2 linked regions of the Macaca mulatta genome follow. The protein of the gene in region 2 binds, or shares a complex with, the protein of the main gene of each other region. Links are inferred from orthologs where the notes say so. Each region holds a gene or a part of one and is shown on either strand. Other genes may lie near its edges.

The links. Proteins that work in one complex are often made in the same cells at the same time.
Region 1: the proteins of YWHAG (region 2) and CASP2 are in contact, whole or in part, in a crystal structure (PDB 6S9K), measured with the Homo sapiens proteins. The link is inferred for Macaca mulatta from reciprocal best matches to the Homo sapiens genes YWHAG and CASP2. Residues at the interface, in NP_036611.2 of Homo sapiens: Glu15, Asn43, Val47, Arg57, Arg61, Lys125, Arg132, Tyr133, Pro170, Gly174, Leu177, Asn178, Val181, Glu185, Glu213, Asp214, Lys217, Asp218, Leu221, Ile222, Leu225, Asn229, Leu232, Trp233; in NP_116764.2 of Homo sapiens: Asp137, Leu138, Ser139, Leu140, Pro141, Phe142, Pro143, Val144, Cys145, Glu146, Leu150, Lys152, Lys153, Leu154, Ser157.

What each region holds. Positions count from the first base shown.
Region 1 is NC_133408.1:183,309,798-183,319,465, forward strand, and holds the start of CASP2 (caspase-2), read left to right. Parts: upstream 1-4,000; 5' UTR 4,001-4,231; coding exon 4,232-4,305; intron 4,306-4,895; exon of another isoform or gene 4,896-5,200; intron 5,201-7,336; coding exon 7,337-7,487; intron 7,488-8,097; coding exon 8,098-8,265; intron 8,266-8,413; coding exon 8,414-8,495; intron 8,496-9,668. Other genes in the region: TMEM139 (transmembrane protein 139), read left to right, coding at 1,674-2,011, 2,240-2,642. UniProt on the Homo sapiens protein: Is a regulator of the cascade of caspases responsible for apoptosis execution. Might function by either activating some proteins required for cell death or inactivating proteins necessary for cell survival.
Region 2 is NC_133408.1:49,991,612-50,001,179, forward strand, and holds the start of YWHAG (14-3-3 protein gamma), read left to right. Parts: upstream 1-4,430; 5' UTR 4,431-4,669; coding exon 4,670-4,756; exon of another isoform or gene 4,757-7,654; intron 7,655-9,568. UniProt on the Homo sapiens protein: Adapter protein implicated in the regulation of a large spectrum of both general and specialized signaling pathways. Binds to a large number of partners, usually by recognition of a phosphoserine or phosphothreonine motif.

The sequences.
Region 1 (9,668 bases), about 130 Mb from region 2:
AGTCAGTGCCCCACCACGTGTCAGGACCATGTTAGTTCCAGGATTCAGAGATGATTAAAACTAATCACGCACCTTGAGAAACTCACAGTGGAAGGAAAATCAGTAAACAGAAAAATGCTACATAACCAGGTAAATGGTGGAACAGATTTAGGAAGGAACAGTGTGGATACACTGGAACAGGCTCCAAAGCGGCATCACCTCGGAGGAGGATCTTGAAGACTCAGGAGTTAACTGGGTCAAGAAGTATACACACAAACACTTCTCACAGGTCTGCAGAAAATGGGGAGTCCACAAAAATAGCACTTGGGCAATGGAAGCAGGACACACCATTCCATGCCCACAGCATTGCTTCCTGTGTGCAATGCACTGTGTGCTGATCTACAGAGATTAAAGAAGCCGAGGTCTCTGCTTCCAGTCACTTGGGAGAGAGGCACAAGGTAAATTATCAAATAGAAGGCAAACTGCCCAGGGCTGTAATTAACATACAATATGCGCTGAGAGGGAAAGGTTAATGCTAACTCTGGTCCTAAGTACAAAGATCATTGGGAGTAAGGGGTGCACTCTCATTAGGGCTCAGTAGGGGTGGGTGGAGAGAGTAAAAACCAGAACAAATCAAGGTGCAGCAGTTGGAAGTCAGCCTTAGGGAGAAAAGGGGCGGAGACTGACTGGGCCAGAACAGAGGGATTGGAAAAGAAAAAGAGGGTGGGGCCAGTGGGCTCCACCTACCCGCTCCGGCCCTTCCCCCCACCCCCACCCCATCTACTTTCTGCAGTCTGTGGAGACAGGTGAGCGACGAACTCCTGAGACAGGTGTGAGTGTGAGGGTCGGGAGGGTCATGGGATTGGGACCAAGGTGTGAGGAGGGAATCTGCAATTCCTTGCTACACAGAGCGCTGGCAACTTCTGACAGGCTGTTTTGGGGGTATGGGCTGCCTCGGGTTGTTGCTGTTACAAGGAAAAAGGGTTCCCCTGCCCACCGCCTCCCAGCCACTGGGCTAATTCCTGGCAGGAAACTTGCAAACTGAGTTTAACGAGTTAGGATCAGCAGAGGGTAGAGGAAGGCCCTGGCAGATGTGGGGTCTATCTAGAAGAGGACAGGAGTTATCAGGGTCTCTGGCCACTGTGCTGGGCCTTTGCCTGTACAATTGTTTCTCAAGCAGTCGTGTCCCTGTGGCTGTGGTGCGCCTGTGTGCACTTTCTCCCTCCACCTGGAGCATGGGCTGACACCGGAGGAAAGGAAAAGACAGAGTCAGACAGGGTAAGTGGGGGTCCCTCCCCCCTTCTCTAACAGGGCTGGATTGAGGGCCTCTGGCTGGGGAGGTTGGGGGTGGAGATCCAGGAGCAATAACAGAGGAAGGGCAGGGCCTGCCCCACCACCTGAATTCCAGAGATGCCAGTGTGCACTGAAGTCCCAGGCAAGGCGTGCCCAGGACCGGATCCTGGATGGTGGTGAGGGACAGAGCTGGAAGGGAGACTACAGGGAAGGATAAAGTAAAGAAGACAGAGCCATGACACAGTCAACTTACAGAATGGCTGAGAGTCAAGGCTCCTGGGCTGGTTTCCTGGCTATTCCACACACGCCAAGACCTAGAGAGAATTTCAGAGCTGGAGGGGACTCCACAGATTATTTGATTTGAGATTGAAGAACCTAGAAACCAAACAAGGAAATATCATATGGTTACTTTGGTATCTGACACAGCCATGACACCAATTGCTAGTGTAGACACAATAGCTATGTGTCTTTTTGCAGGAGCCTGGGGAGGGGCCATGGTGCCAATGTACTTATTGGGGAGACTGGAGAAGCCGCTTCTCCTCCTGTGCTGCGCCTCCTTCCTACTGGGGCTGGCTTTGCTGGGCATAAAGACGGACATCACCCCTGTTGCTTATTTCTTTCTCACATTGGGTGGCTTCTTCTTGTTTGCCTATCTCCTGGTCCGGTTTCTGGAATGCGGGCTTCGGTCCCAGCTCCAATCAATGCAGACTGAGAGCCCAGGGCCCTCAGGCAATGCACGGTGAGTTAAGGGGTGGGCATCAGGAGAGGAATACACCTTGGGCCCATCCTCCCTCCCTCTCTCCCTGTAGTCTCTGAGGCATAGAGTCTCTGGTTTCCTCTGTCACTGGCATCAGCGGGAGGAGGGGTCAGAGGCCAACACAGGATCTTTTGCCCGTAGCAGACAAAAAAAAGGGAAAAAGGGCTTCTTTCATGGAAGCCACCAATGGCCTTATTTCTCTTCCCTCAGGGACAATGAAGCCTTTGAAGTGCCAGCCTATGAAGAGGCCGTGGTGGGACTGGAATCCCAGAGCCGCCCCCAAGAGTTGGACCAACCACCCCCCTACAGCACTGCTGTGATACTCCCAGCACCTGAGGATGAACAACCTAGCCATCCAGAGGGGTCCAGGAGAGCCGGACTGGAACAGAGGCGAATGGCCTCAGAGACTATGGCCCAGGAAGGAAGCCCTGAAAGAACTCCAATCAGCCTTCGGCTTCGGGGACCACGGGCTGTGTCCACTGCTCCTGATCTGCAGAGCTTGGGGGCACTCCCCAGATTAGAGCCCCTGACTCCACCCCCTGCCTATGATGTCTGCTTTGGTCAACCTGATGATGATAGTGTTTTTTGTGAAGACAACTGGGCACCCCCTTAAACGACTCTCCCAAGATTTCTCTTCTCTCCACACCAGACCTCGTTCATTTGACCAACATTTTCCAGTGCCTACTATGTGTCAGAAACAGTGTTTCTGGCTGAATATCATAAATGGGGACTTGGACCCTGAGGAAAGTCAGGCCACGGTAAGCCCTTCCCAGCTGAAATGTGGGTGGCATAATTTGAGTCTTCTGGCAACATTTGGTGACCTACCCCATATCCAATATTTCCAGCGTTAAATTGAGGATGAGGTAGGGAGGTGATCCAGAGAAGGTGGAGAAGGAAGACGTAACCTCTGAGTGACGGCTATTGCTTCTGTTCCAGGCGCTGTTCGAGCTGTTAGATCCCTTAGGCTTGCCAGCTTTGTGAGTTATTATTGAAAAATGAGGATTCCAAGAGTCAGAGGAGTTTGATAACGTGCACGAGGGTACACTGCTAGTAAATAACATTAACTCCTCATCCCAAAGCCTATTGTGTTTTCAACACAAGATAATAGGAAGCCAAGCCACGTGCATGTCTCCCAATCCCTGTCTAGGGACAGCTGCTGGTGCAGGGTGGAAGACTTCCTATAAACAGAATGGGGGACCAATTGTGTCTACAGAGGGGGTGGGCTGAGCATGGGCACGCATGTCCCCAGCCTCCTGGACGAGCAAACTCAGTCAACGCTCTGGTGATCCTTGCTCCGCATGGGTAGCAGTGTCTGTGCCTCTCCTGCCCAGGTGCTAGAGAGCATTCCCCAGTGCAGGGTCCCCAATGTATTTGAAAACAGTGGAGTCAGTGGCCCTAGGTGGAGGGTGGGTATGAAGGCCAGAAAGAGTGAAACATGTGAGCTTTCTGGCCAGGAGATTCCCTCTTGAATCATCCATATGAAGCCCCGGGGCCACTTGCGAAGCGTCTCTAATAGCTTCTTCCTCACTCCTGCGCTCTGACCGCTAGACTTTCACCCCAGCCGCCGGTCCGGATTCCTGAGATCCCAATATTGAGCACCAGGTTTCCTGGAATTGTGTGCTGCGGCTGTGATGTAGGTTTCGGTCGCAGGAAGCTGCTAAACCATAGCTGACGCCCCCTCCTAAGCCAGCCTTCCTTCCCCGCGCGGGTATCTGTCCAGCACCTTGTCGCGCTCTCAGTCTCCTCCACAGCCTGGCCCCAACCGTTCAACTTCAATAAAGCAAAACTCCAGCCACACAAGTCTCCGTGAAGTTATCGCCATAGGCCGGCCAGGGGGCGGGAGAGGTACCGGGGTGATTTCCGCGGGAATCGATAACCAATCGGATTCCCAGGCCGAACGGAGCACACCCGCCCGCACTCGCTCTTTCCCCGCCCTTTGCCCCGCCCCGCTCCTTCTCCTCCCTTTGTCTTTCCGCCGAGCTCCCCACTTCACCCCATTGGCCCGCGCGGCCGCCGCTAGAGCTCTGCGCCTGCGCACGCACCGGGCGGGAGGACGCGGTGGCCTGGCGTGGGGGCGCGGCAGGGCGCAGGCGCAGGCGCAATGTGTGTCCGCGTGTGGGGGAGGGATGTGGGCGAGGCTACGGCCCCCAGTTTGTTTGGGCTGTGGGCGGTGCACAGTGCAGAGCCCGGGAAAAGCGGGAAATGGCGGCGCCGAGCGCAGGGTCTTGGTCTACCTTCAAGCACAAGGAGCTGATGGCCGCTGACAGGGGACGCAGGTAAGTAAGGAACAGTCTTAGGGCTACTAAGGGAGGGTCCAGGGAAGGGGAACGTGGGCCCCAGGCGTGCGGCCCTGCAGCCCCCTCCCCTCGGAGCCCCGGAAAGCAGCCTTGTCCGCGCTTCCTGCCAAGGGTGGGAGGCCCCGCCAAGCAGTTCCGAGCCTGACTGCGCAGGGGCCCGCGGGCGGACCTCTTGGCCTTGTCCCTCGTGGAAGAAGACTGCCCTAGCCTCCCTTTGTTCAACCCACGAGGGTTCTAAATAAGGGGAGCTCCTTGCAGTCCTGCCCACTCTTGGCTTCTCTTGAAGATTCTTCATCCTTTCCTCTGGCTCCCTTATGAGGGAGACTATAAAAAGACTGTACTCTGCCCCCTTAAAAACCGCCGAGACCTTCTGCAGACCTCGGTGCTCTGCCTGATGTGCATTTGATTTGTATCGACTGTATCGTGATCTGCATGGCTTTGCATACAATCACCAGATTTTCGAAGAAGTCAGTACAGGGTTTGGAAATTGAGTACTTTTGGCAGAACAGGGGGGTTCCTGTGGCTCCAAGTGTCCATGCCTCTGCCCCGGTCTTTCCATTTCATGGCAGGCATCACCCAGGAGAACATTGTAATGCCTCCCGCTCGAGACTGAAGATTAAGGTCTTCGCAAAGGGAACCTGCAGAAGGACACAGAATTAAGACGTAGGAACTCCCGTGGTGCCCTTCACCCCTCCTCCCCTTCCAGTTGTGTCCTGAAATTCTAAATGATTGGAAACTTTTGTAATGTTCACGTTTAAGACTCTCATACTATGGAGTAGAGGAAGGAGCGGGTGTGCAGAGTGGTTGATGCTTCAGATTAAAACTAAAGAGTTGATTGAAAATTCAAGTCTGGAACTCGAGAGAGTTAAGAACTGTTAAGTCAGTAAGTTGCAAGTATGGGTGAGATTGTCTAGGGAAAGGATCTTTGAAGGGGCGTCCCTAATGGAACATCAACATTAAGGGGAGGCCAAAGGCCCTCTAAAGAAAACAGGAATTGGGTAGGCAGAGAGAAGACTCCCAGGTGCTGTCATGGAAAAAGAGAAAGAGAACAATTTAAGGAGCGAATACTACTGGTAAACTAATGGAAGAAATCTGCTGCACCATTAGTTGGTATCCCAGCTGCAGTGTTATATGTGATCGTTATTACTGCTTTGATGTATTCGAAAGTGATTCATTCTTAAATGGATTTTTTTATTTGTATAGCTTTTTTTCTTATAGCCGGTTTTTACTGAAAGTCTGGGGTAATGGAAATATGACAGTAAAAATAAGGAAAAATGGAGTTTCAGACTCACTTTTCCAAACCTCAGATTCATTGACTGCTTCCAACCCACTTTGTCTGCTTTAGGATCCCACCTGCTATCTTAGGTCTCTCAGTTCCTCCAGGATCCTGCTCTTCCCTCTTCTAACTATAAATCTCTCACCCAATAACATCTCCAAGCCAAGTGCATCCATTCCATAGATGTGTGGTATTTCACTGATTGTAAGATACACATTTTTCCCCTCCCCTTTTTTTTTTTTTTTTAGATATAGTCTTTGCTCTGTCATCCAGGCTGGAGTGCAGTGGAATAATCTCAGCTCACTGCAACCTCCATCTCCCAGGTTCAAGCGATTCTCCTGCCTCAGCCTCCCCAGTAGCTAGGACTACAGGCATGCACCACTACACTCAGCTAATTTTTTGTATCTTTAGTAGAGACAGGGTTTCACCATGTTGGCCAGGCTGGTCTCAAACTCCTGACCTCTGGTGATCTATCCACCTCAGCCTCCCAAAGTACTGGGATTACAGGCATGAGCCACCGTGCCCGGCCTCCCTTCCTGTTTTAACACCTTAGAAATCAGGATGCATTTTAGAGTAGGTTTTGAAGTTATAAACTGAAGTTACTATATCTTCACTGCTATCAGGTGCTGCCCTTCCTGTTGTCACATATTTGGAAAATGTGACTTGGCAGGCTAGAGAACTCTGGATTTATGTAAAGTAGGCATGTAGATGACATATATTGGCAATAGGATTATTTTAGTTTATAAGCAGAAGCTGATCTCTTTGCAAGCCCGTGGCAAAATTAGCTGGAGGTGACAGCACATTCCTGTAGTCCCAACTACTTGGGAGGCTGAAGCAGGAGGATCACTTGAGTCCAGGAGTTCTGGGCTGTAGAGTGCTATGCCAGTCACGTGTCCACACTAAGTTCAGCATCAGTGTGGTGATGTCCTGGGAGCCAGGGTCCACCAGGTTGCCTAAAGAAGGGTGAACCAGCCCAGGTCAAAAGCTGGGCAAGTCAAAACTCCTGTGCTGCTCTGTAATGCGGTCATACCTGTGAAGAGCCGCTGCATTCCAGCCTGGGTGGCATAGTGAGACTCTGTCTGTTTTAAAGTAAATAGATAAGTACCTACCCACTGTGACTTTCTGTCATACTTCCTGCTTATCCACATCTTAACGGGATTCTGATAATTTCTAGTGCCATTTTGTCACTGGAACTTAAAGTTTTAAAAAAACATGTAATTATATGTTTATATCATTAGTGAAAGAGAGTTAGTGTCAGCCTCATTTATTTTCTGTTAAAGCCATTGGCTTGAGTTTTTGTCATAGCGTTGTTTTAGCCCTCATCCAAGATCATTATAAACTTCCATCACTTTCACCAGCTTAAATAATGTGAGATGATTTCTGAAATAGTTCTCTTAATTAAAATTGGTCTATCAGAGAAGTATTTCTTCTCATAAATATGTATGCTTGGGGGTATTATTTTGCTTAAGATAGACATTTCCCTCCCCTAGTCAGACCATTCATCTCAGATGATCTCAGCTGAACATAAACCATAAGGAATTAGACATTATTTTCTTATGATCAATGCGTTACTGCTTAGTACGTCTTTGATTTAACCAGATTCAATAAATATGCATAATCTTCGTTATTAGAAGTCTTATTCTTTTTCGTTCTTTCTATTCATGCCTCTTCCACTCCACTCTTCTGTGCCAAATTGTGTACTTGACAGCCTTTCCCTCTACCTTTTATCTGTAGGATATTGGGAGTGTGTGGCATGCATCCTCACCATCAGGAAACGCTAAAAAAGAACCGAGTGATGCTAGCCAAACAGCTGTTGTTGAGTGAACTGTTAGAACATCTTCTGGAGAAGGACATCATCACCTTGGAAATGAGAGAGCTCATCCAGGTATCTGGAGGCAAAAGAGAGAAGATAAATTGATCATAGGGGTGGGAACAGAGCATGACAAAATATTAAAAGGATGTCGTATCTTTATCCTTTTTTTTTTTTTTGAGACGGAGTCTCGCTCTGTCGCCCAGGCTGGAGTGCAATGGCGCGATCTTGGCTCACTGCAGCCTCTGCCTCCCAGGTTCACATGATTCTCCTGCCTCAGCATCCCAAGTAGCTGGGACTACAGGCGGGTGCCACCACACCTGGCTAATTTTTTGTATTTTTAGTAGAGATGGGGTTTCACTGTGTTAGCCAGGATGGTGTCAATCTCCTGACCTCATGATCCACCTGCTTCAGCTTCCCAAAGTGCTGGGATTACAGGTGTGAGCCACCACACCCAGCTGGATGTTGTACGTTTCTAAAGAAATGGAAATGCCCTTCTACCATAGAGCATTTGACAGAAATGATATAAATTCAAGAATAACAGGAAGGACTTCACCTAAACATATCTTTTCCTGTAAAAAGAATTATTGAGAGGAATGAGGACACTACTAGGAAGCTCATGTGGAGAAATAGAATTATAGGTAGAGAAGTAAATATGATTCCATGTTTTATTCTTGTGTCTTAGGCCAAAGTGGGCAGTTTCAGCCAGAACGTGGAACTCCTCAACTTGCTGCCTAAGAGGGGTCCCCAAGCTTTTGATGCCTTCTGTGAAGCACTGAGGGAGACCAAGCAAGGCCACCTGGAGGATATGTTGCTCACCACCCTTTCCGGGCTTCAGCATGTACTCCCACCGGTATGAAGCTTTAGTCATATGGGGTGTTGGGAAGGAAAGTTTGACTGGAAAGCAATTTGTAAGTCAGAGTGAGGGAGACTAGATTTTGTTGTATTTGGAGCGGACCACCTCCCTAAGGTCTGTCATCATGAGTTTTGATTTCTTACAGTTGAGCTGTGACCACGACTTGAGTCTCCCTTTCCCGGTGTGTGAGTCCTGTCCACTTCACAAGAAGGTCCGCCTGTCGACAGGTGAGAATTGATGGACTAAAAGGGGTCCCAGGCCAGGCGCGGTGGCTCACGCCTGTAATCCCAGCACTTTGGGAAACCGAGGCAGGTGGATCACCTGAGGTCAGGAGTTCAAGACCAGCCTGGCCAACATGGTGGAACCCCGTCTCTACTAAAAATATAAAAACTAGCTGGGCATGGTGGTGGGTGCCTGTAATCCCGGCTACTCAGGAGGCTGAGGCAGGAGAATTGCTTGAACCCAGGAGACGGAGGTTGCAGTGAGCCAACACAATGCCACCACACTCCAGCCTTGGCGACAGAGTGAGAGTCAGTCTCAAAAAAAAAAAAGGAGGGGGGTGTCCCACATCCCAGTTTGACTTCTTTCTTGTCTGGTATCTGGCTTTGCCCTAACATGAGCCTTTTTTTTTTATTTTTTTTTTTTAAAAGAAATGGGGTCTTGTTCTGTCACCCAGGCTGGAATGCAGTGGCACCATCATAGCTCACTGCAGCCTCGAACTCCTGGGTTGAAGGGCTCCTCCTGCCTCAACCTCCCAAGTACCTGGGATTACAGGTGCATGCCGCCACACCTAGTTCCTTTTTAAATTTTTTGTAGAGAAGGAGTCTCACTTTGTTACCCAGGCTGGTGTCAAAGTCCTGGCCTCAAGTGATCCTCCTGCCTTGGCCTCCCAAAGTGCTGGGATTATAGGCATAAGCCACCACGCCCAGCTGAGACATACTTTATACTGGGAACAGTTGTCAGTGAATTTGTTAAGGGCTAGTAGGACAGTTTAGGCAAGAGGTTGTTTTTGTTTTTTTGTTTTTTATTTTTTTTCCCCCCTCTTATGATGGAGTCTTGCTCTGTCGCCCAGGCTGGAGTTCAATGACGCGATCTCGGCTCACTGCAAACTCTGCCTCCTGGGTTCAAGCGATTCTCCTGCCTCAGCCTCCTGAGTAGCTGGGATTACAGGTGCACGCCACCATGCCCAGCTAATTTTTTGTATTTTTAGTAGAGACGGGGTTTCACCGTTTCCTGACCTCGTGATCTGCCTGCCTCAGCCTCCCAAAGTGTTGGGATTACAGGCATGAGTCACCGCCTAGGCAGGGTATTATAAATAGGTGGTCCCATTTCCTTTCCACCCCAGATAACAGTTTTTATGATAACTGGCCCTTTGAGTAGCATGTATATAGGCAGGAAGT
Region 2 (9,568 bases):
GGCACGCATCACCACACTTGGCTAATTTTTGTATTTTTAGTAGAGACAAGGTTTCGCCATGTTGGCCAGGCTGGTCTCAAACTCCTGACCTCAGGTGATGCGCCCACCTCGGCCTCCCAAAGTGCTAGGATTACAGGCGTGAGCCACTGCACCCGGCCATATTCATTTACTTATTTCCTATGCTCTCTCCATGTATTTATCATGTGTCAGGTACTGTGCTAAGCACTGAGCAGCCAAGGTGATGATGAAGAAGACAAAACCTGAAGCTGATCATTTTCTGCCACTGTTAAAATCTTTTCACAGGCTTCCGATTAATTTTAGAATAAAAATTTAACTCCTGGGGCTGCCATTCAGTACCCCTCATGTTCTGGCCCGTGACTCTATCCCCAGCCCCTTACCCATCACCTAGACACCAGATACATCAGATTATTTGCCTATCAATAAATATTTCAGGGGAGCTGGGTGTGGTGGTACATGCCTGTAGTCCCCGCTACTCAGGAGGCTGAGGTGGGAGGATCACTTGAGCCCAGAAATTGGAGGCTACAGCGAGCTATGATTCTACCACTGTACTCCAGCCTGGGCTACACAGTGAGATCCCCACCTCTAAAAAATAAGTACATAAATAAATAAATCAGGGAGGAACTTGCCTTTGAGTCTTGCTACCTGTGCCTCTGCCTGCTCTCAAATCCTACAATCCTTTAAAGGCTGGGTTGGAAATGTTACCAAACTCCCTGGAGAAGTTTTTCAGAACCTCTTCCTATGCAGCCTGAAAGAAGTTATTTTTTAAACAAAATATTTACAGTGCTTCACACACGCTGAATTCCTTGAGGACAGGGGTCCTCCAGCATCTGGCATAGAGCCTGCAATATTCCCCCACGGAAACTCTTTCATTCCAGATTCTCATCCACACTTCATGTTTCCTATTTTATTTTTCACTTCTTATTGATTTTTTTGTTGTTATTTAGTTTTTATTTCATAGTCACAATCTTACCTCTGCAATTCAACCAGACATGGAAGGGAAGAGGAAAAACATGGGACCCAGGCTGGGCGCAGTGGCTCAAGCCTGTAATCCCAGCACTTTGGGAGGCCGAGATAGGCGGATCACGAGGTCAGGAGATCGAGACCATCCTGGCTAACACGGTGAAACCCCGTCTCTACTAAAAAATACCCAAAAAAAACTAGCCGGGCGAGGTGGCGGGCGCCTGTAGTACCAGCTACTCAGGAGGCTGAGGCAGGAGAATGGCGTAAACCCAGGAGGCGGAGCTTGCAGTGAGCCGAGATCCAGCCACTGCACTCCAGCCTGGGTGACAGAGCCAGACTCCATCTCAAAACAAACAAACAAACATGGGACCCAAATGGAACTGTAGCAAGAGCACAAAGACGATAGGATACTGGGAGCAAATGGGGTGGATAGGTGCTCTCCTGAGCTACTGAAGAAATGGTCTGGTGGTTAAGATAAAACACAAGTCAAATTTATTAGAGTTGTCCATAGTCAGCAATGGTGATTTTTTTTTTTTTTTTTTAAGGTGGAGTTTCGCTCTTGTCGCCCAGGCTGGAGTGCAATGGTGTGATCTCAGCTCACTGCAACCTCTGCCTCCCAGGTTCCAGTGATTCTCCTGCGTCAGCCTCCGGAGTAGCTGGGACTACAGGCACCTGCCACCACGCCCAGCTAATTTTTGTATTTTTAGTAGAGACGGAATTTCACCATGTTGGCCAGGCTGGTCTCAAACTCTGGACCTCAAGTGATCTGCCTGCCTCGGCCTCCCGAAGTGCTAGGATTACAGGCGTGAGCCACTGCACCCGGCCATAGCAATAGTGATCTTCTTGCTGGTCTTGCCATTCCTGGACCCAAAGCACTCCATGGCCTCCACAATACTCATGCTTGCTTTCGCCTTGCCGAAGACCACCATGCTTGCCATCTAACCACTCAGTCTTGGCAGTGCAGATGAAAAACTGGGAAGCGTTTGTGTTGGGTCCAGCATCTGCCATGGGCAAGATGCCAAGATCTGTATGCTTCAGGATGAGGTTTTCGTCATCGAATTTCTCCCCATAGATGGACTTGCCACCAGTGCCATTATGGTGTGTGAAGTCACCACCCTGACACATAATCCCTGGAATAATTCTGTGTAAGTAGGAACCCTTGCTGGGCGCGGTGGCTCACGCCTGTAATCCCAGCACTTTGGGAGGCTGAGGCGGAGGGATCATGAGGTCAGGAGTTCGACACCAGCCTGACTAATATGGTGAAACACCATCTCTACTAAAAATACAAAAATCAGCTGGGCGTGGTGGCGCATGCCTGTAATCCCAGGTACTCAAGAGGCTGAGGCAGGAGAATCGCTTGAACCCGGGAGGCAGAGGTTGCAGTGAGCCGAGATTGCTCCACTACACTCCAGCCTGGGCTACAGAGCGAGACTTCATCTCAAAAAAAAAAAAAAAAAAAAAAAAGAAAGAGAGTACTAGCAACCCTTATAATCAAATCCTTTCTCTCCAGTGCTCAGAAAATGAAAGTTTTCTGCTGTCTTTAGAACCTTGTCTGCTAACAGCTCTGATATGTTAACATGGCTTTATGGTTTGCAGAGGTCACTTCTTGGCTTCTTGGTTTCCAGGCCCCTAACCTTGAAGGAGACGCAGCCCGAGGGCTTGACCATAATGTCAAAGAACACGATGAGATTGACCATGGCCAGCAGTAGAGTACTCCTGGCGGCAGCAGCGTCTGCAAAGCTCACTTTTTTTTTTTTTAATATGGATTTTCGCTGTTGTTGCCCAGGCTGGAGTGCAATGGCACCATCTCAGCTCACTGCAACCCCCGTCTCCCAGGTTCAAGCGATTCTCCTGCCTCAGCCTCCCCAGTAGCTGGGATTACAGGCGCTCAGCTAATTTTTGTATTTTTAGTAGAGATGGGGTTTCGCCACATTAGCCAGGCTGGTCTTGAACTCCCGACCTCAGATGATCCACCCGCTTCGGCCTCCCAAAGTGTTGGGATTACAGGTGTGAGTCACCAAGACCAGCCAAAGCTCATTTCCTTTTTTTTTTTTTTTTTTTGAGATGGAGTCTCGCTCTGTCACCCATGCTGGAGTGCAGTGGCACGATCTCAGCTCACTGCAACCTCAAAGCTCACGTCTTATTGACTTCTAGCATACTGTACATATCTTGCCTATTTTCTTGGGAAGGGATTTTTTTCTGTTTTGTTCACTACTGTACCTTGTGGCTTAGAATAGGGCTTGGAACACAGTAGCTTCTCACAGATAATTGTTGAATACATAAAGTAAATAAAATGTGTAGTCAAAACTATGGGGCCTGCAGGCATGGTGGCTCACATCTGTAATCCCAGCACTTTGGGAGGCCGAGGCGTGAGGATCGCTCGAGCCCAGGAGTTCGAGACTAGCATGGGCAACAAAGCTAGACCCTCGTCTCTACAAAAAACAAAACAAAGCAAAAAAACCTAGTCTATCTTTAAGCTACGTGGAATAATATGAACGAGAATATATCAGCGTGACCTCAGTAGGTACGTATGCCTAGGAGGGGAGAGAAGGGCTGGACAACTAAGCCCCAGACACAGCCCGTTAAGGCGTGGAGTAGGCTCCTGGTAGCTGAACTGAATCTTTAGCACTCCACCCTGGAGAGGAAGAAGGGGTTCTCCAGGGTCAGCCAGCAGGCAGCTGCATCCTTTCTGGAAACCAACCAGTGTGGCCAGCCGGTATTTGTCGTTCGTCCTTGTTTTCACCTAGTCAGGCCCAAGAGCCTCAAGGTGGGGTGGGGGGTTAGTGGAAGCTCGTAGGGGGAGGAGGTGACAGTCCCCCGAGTCTGGCCCCTTAATTCAGCCATCCCGCGGGCAGGCACCACACTGAGAGTCTGGATCTACAAAGGACGCGCCTCCTATCCTTCCCCCACCACGACCTGCTACGTGATCTCGGAAACAGGGTCTAGGACTGAGGCCCCTGCCCCCTCCTCTCGTAATTTCCCGGAGAATATGGGGCGGGGCGGTGAATCAGCACTCGCAGGGACTGATGCAGCCCTGATCCCCGCCAGGGGTCCCCAGCGGCCTCGGGATTCGAACCACCCCCCCAGTCCTCCTGCGCCTGCGCGCTACCTCCGCTGGGAGTTGTAGTCTTGACCGCCCCTTTGTCCTCGGTCTTCTCAACGCCTCGGCCCACGGCAGGTTACACTACAACTCCCAAGGGCCCATGCGTCGGAGGCCTGGCGGGGCGGGGGGCTGAAGGGAGAGGGATAAGGGGGCGTCTGGAGAAGCTGGGGTGAGGGAACTGAGGAGTGAAGTGAATAAAGAGGAGAGTGGGGGCGCAGTGGGAAAGGACGTGGTGCCCGGAAGACGCGCAGTGAGCCGAGTTGGGGAGCGGGGAGCTCTAGCCGCGGCCGGGCCCGGGCGGGGCCTGGGCGGGGCTTGCGGACGAGCGGGCGGGGCCTGCCTGCGTCATGCGGCGTGGGCGGGGCCGCAGGGGGTTGTCCGTCCGTGGCACGCACAGCAGCCGCAGCCGCCTCGCTCCCGGTCCCGCGGTCGCAGCTCCAGCCGCCTCCTCCGCGCAGCCGCCGCCTCAGCCGCTCGCTCCGTGGGTCGGTCCTCTCCGGCACTTGGGCTCCAATCGCGCCCTCCAAGCCCTTCACGCCACCCCAGTGTCCTCCTCCTTCTCCGGCCAGACCCAGCTCCGCGAAGATGGTGGACCGCGAGCAACTGGTGCAGAAAGCCCGGCTGGCCGAGCAGGCGGAGCGCTACGACGACATGGCCGCGGCCATGAAGAACGTGAGTGTCTCCTCCCCTCCCCCGCCGCTCCCTGCCCCTCCGAAGACGCGGTCCTTGGCGTGGAAGGCCCGGGGCTTCGTCGCCCTGTCGCGATGGTGGGGTGACCGCCCCGTCTCGCTCACTGAGGGGGGCCGGGGAGGGTCCCCAGAGCCGACGGGAACACGGGCTGTGACGCGGCCTCTCCTCGGCGTCCCCGGGGCCCCGCGGCGCGGCCTCTCTGGCCCGGCGCGGGCGCGGGGCGGGGCGGGGTCCTGCGGGGCTGGACTTGGGAGCGGGGTCTCCGGTCCCAGCGGCTCTAGGGGTACAGGGGATCCGAGCGGGGAGGCGTGCGCATCCTTTGTGCCCCACTTCCCCCCTCCTCCCAGCCCGGGCGTGGGGGCGGGGGACCGCATGGATGCGGTTCCTCTTTCTCTCCCTGGTGTCTGGGCGGCGCCTTTCCCATTCACTCAGCAGGTCTCCCGGTTTTCCACCTCCCCAGCCCCCCCAAAATCTTCCCCACTGTCTGTCCCGACAGATCCCTGTGAATCTTCCCAGAAACATTGTATAGGGTCTCTTGAAAACCTGAGCTCCGTGGCGCAAAATCGAAACCACCTTGCTCACGTTTTTCTTAACAAAAGGCTCTTCTTTCTCCATTCCCCCAAAGCAAGTCCTCCGGCTTTTAGGAAGGGGGAACGTTTGTCTCGCTAGCGTTTTCGTTGATCGTTTTCAACATGTCATCTCCATTTTATTCCCTAATGTTTTTGTATTGAAAAGGGTAGGTATTGCCTGTAAAATAAAAGGTGGTGAATGTAGCTGACTGGTTCGATCCGTGTGACATATGCCGTTTCTTTTTTGAATACAGGCACGCGTCTGTGAAATTCCTATAAGTTGGGGGAAAAAATATTCTGTCTGATCTGATAGTGCAAACAAAGCGGTGGTGAGAGGCAGTATCAAGTCATTCCAGAAGATTCTGCATTTGTCATATTGCAGAGAGCCTAGACTGGGTGGAGGCTGGGAGGAGTTATTTTAAAGGGGAAAAAGTCTTTTTAAAAATTTTTGGTCGTTAGATGCATCTGAGGCTTTTTTTTTTTTTTTTTTTTTTTTTTAAAGCGAGTACGTCTTCATGCTGATGAAAAGAGAATACTGATCTCCAGTTGTCGCATTTTGTCTGGGTTGCAGATTCCTCCCTGTATTGCACCATTTTGTCAGTAACACTACATTTATCTAATGGGCTGTCAACCAGTTTGATATTAGAGGAGGGGGAAGTATTGAACATTATGAAATGAAAGGTAGAAAATTAATGATTTCGGGCCCCCACTATCTTAATATTTAATTTCCTGCCTTATGTAACAAAGGTTTTTCAAATGCATCTCCATTGTAAAGTGGATGCTGGAGTGTACCTTGCATGTTACATCTTTTAAATGAAGCATTATTGATATTACAGATCAATTCTTGAATAACTTTACTGGTTCTCAAAAGAGGACAATGCTGATACCTTTACATTTAAACCAGGTATTTTAACAAAGAAATGTTTTTGTCTTATTAAAGAAGAGAACCGGTTCTGAAATTCGGAATACTGCTATGGCCACAGCTGCTGTCTTACAAGGTTTTAATGCTCAAATGATGTAAGTTGCACTTCTAATGGGTATCAGTATTGGAAATATCTTCAGTTCGTGTTATTTAATTTAGACTCTTCTAATTTTTCCGTATTTCTAGTTCCACAGGAAAGCGAGTGACCTCGCACCTATATCTATAGCAACCAAGTGATGTCACACACAATGACACAGAGGCTGCAATGCACCTAAGGGCTGGTAGGGAGTGTGCAAATGGCATTTATCCAAGGTAATGCAGAAATTAGCCGATAAGCCAGGTGGAATCGAGCACTTCATATTCCACCAGATAAGAATTAGTCCAAAAAATAAGGATTTCATTTACCCTTAAACATGCAGATCCCTGACCTCTAGCTAGGCCTTGTTCACCCTATTGCTAGCTTTCTCACAAAAGTTTATAAGATGCTTTTTTTATATTTTTAAACATTCATCTCACTTATTTAAAATACTGGGCAATAATGGAATAAAAGTAGAAATTTTAAACGATAATATATTTTATGGAATGAAAGTAGAAATTTTAAACAAGAATATAGTTTACGATAATAGTGCAGAGATGAGATGTGTACTTGTGTTTATTTCAGATAATGAATTTGGCAGGTTTTAATAAAAACCTTAAAAAAATGATGACTTTCTACTGAGTCATTTTCAGTTACTGTTAGGGAATGAGAACCAGTTCCAAAACCTTTTAAATCGAGGTTTGGGAAGTTTGTTTTTTACTAGATTTGTGCTTCTGCTCCTTCACAGTATAGAGGAAAGAACAGTTTGTAAAATAAAAACCTTTTTTCAACTCTGTTTCCTGTGACTTTAAGGAAATAGGCCCTGTCCCTCATTTTCCTCATCTATAAAATGGGACAGTACTTGAAAAAGTTGTGCGGATTCAATAAGAAATGTAGTAGGTGTTCCCAAATGGCAACTACCTAAGAAATTGTCTTCCTGTTTATAAAAGTCATCATGGAGAATTTGGAAACTGCAGAGAAAGAACCCAGTCTTACCACTCAAGTGAGCTCTCTTTTAAGGCCGAAATCATCCTGTTGATGGATTAAAATTTATTTGAGTTTAATGAAATTATCCTAGTGCTAACACTATTGGAATCTGTGCAGAATGATAGTTCTGTGTGGGCAACCAGGACAGAAATACTGTATTATCCAGTATTTTGAAAAGAAGGAAAGAGGAATGTTAGGTCTTTTAAGACACTTGTTTAGTCTTGTATTGAAGGAGATTGAATACCTAGATGTATCCTATGTATTAGACAATATTGTCTTGTCCTTTGACTTTTAATAGTCTCTTGAGAAGTTAATATTTTAAGTAGGCTACTGGTACTTGCCTCGGGGGGAGAAAAGGTTCAGGGCTACTAATTTTGTTGAAGTTACTGGGTTAAGCAGTTTAATTCAGTGAGGGGTGGTGGGGGCAAAGGTGGCAAAAGGCTATCATAATTTTTCTAAATCTTCCTAGTGGGATCAGTAGACTTTCAAATTCTTACTATCTTAAATATTCCATTCCCTAGCCACCCCCCCCGCCCAGCTTTTCCAGGAGATCAATAGCCATTATCACTAATGGAGTAATGGTACCTCTGTAGACTCTTCAGAGGTGGAGTTCTGCCAACCATTATTCTGAGTCATGTGGCTTGAATTGTTCTCTTCTTGAGGGAAAGAATACAGATCATACAGCTTGCTATTCATGTGTTAGCCTTCACAGTAACTGAAGCAGATATTACGTATTTTTCCGATTATTTTGGAAATCTCCTATGTGTCTTTTGAATTCTACTGAGATTCAACATGGTGCTAAATGTTCATCCTCATTGCAGTCCTGGATTAACTGCAGACCTTGGGTAGGAGTTCATCTCTTATATTCAGGGAAGCCTTATTTATTAAGCCACTCTCTGAATTATTGAAAAGAGTGAAGAAAACGTTGTGTTTTTATTGAGGTAGAAGTTGCATAACATAACTTTAACATAGTCACATCACATTTCAAATGTGCCGTTGAGTGGCATTGGGTACATTCAGTGTTTTGCAGCCATCACCTATGTTCAAGAAAGGAGAAAGTGGTTACTTTTAAAAAGTGATGCCGCTCTGGCCTACAGCTGGCTGGAATTCAGCACGCCATTACCGATTCAGGAATGTGTCGATAATGGAGTGCCCACAACAGCTCACAGCCAGCGATAATTGTCTATCCCTTTGTCTTCGTTTACAAGCCTCTGAACTGAAAAAAGGGAATTAGCTTTAGTTAAGTTTTGTACCGTATTCCCACTTAAAAAGTTATGGAACTTGAACACCGTATAATGTTCACCCAAATAAATAAGAACAATTTACTTGAAGTCTGAGCAAATCATTACCTCTTTGGGGATTATGGAAATTTTGCTGGTGTTCTTGTGACTCGTTTTCAGCCCCAAGGCTGGCTTTATTATCAGTGATTTGCCGCCTGTGTGGTGGTGGTTTCCTAATGAGCAGGATGCAGGACTGAGACTGGGGAGTTCCTGCAGCTTGAGGCTGTCAACTGATGGGACACCAGCCCAAGACATTCAGTACATCATTGTGACTGTCAGCAGCTGGATGGGAAAAGTACCGTTACTTTTCCCTTCTTTGCCCACTGCTAAGATCACCGGTCCTAACCTTTTTTTTTTTTTTTTTTTTTTTTGGAGAGAGTCTTGCTGTCACCCATGCTGGAGTGCAGTGGGCAGTGGTGTGATATCTGGGCTCACTGCAACCTCTGCCTCCCAAGTTAAAGTGATTCTCCTGCCTCAGCCTCCCAAGTAGCTGGGATTACAGGCAAACATCAGTCACCACGGCCAGTTAATTTTTGTATTTTTAGTAGTGACAGGGTTTCATCATGTTGTCCAGGCTGGGCTCGAACTTCTGACCTCAGGATCTACCCACCTCGGCCTCCCAAAGTGCTGGGATTACAGGCGTGCCCAGCCTCAAAAGGGAAATATCACTTTTAAATGATATAAAACATTACCTTCTCTTTGCCTTCTTTTTAGAGCTATTTAGGGTTTACCAGATATTCCAGTCTATAATTATGTGTGCGTTTGATTGCTTGGTTTTGTTTGTTTTTTTGAGACAAGGTCTCAATCTGTCACCCAGGCTGGAGCATGGTTCACTGCAGCCTCCACCTCACAGGCTAAAGTGATCCTCCAGCTCCAGCCACGCAAGTAGTTGGGACTACAGGTGCATGCCACCACACCCGACTATTTTTTTGTATTTTTTTTTTTTTTTGTAGAGACGGG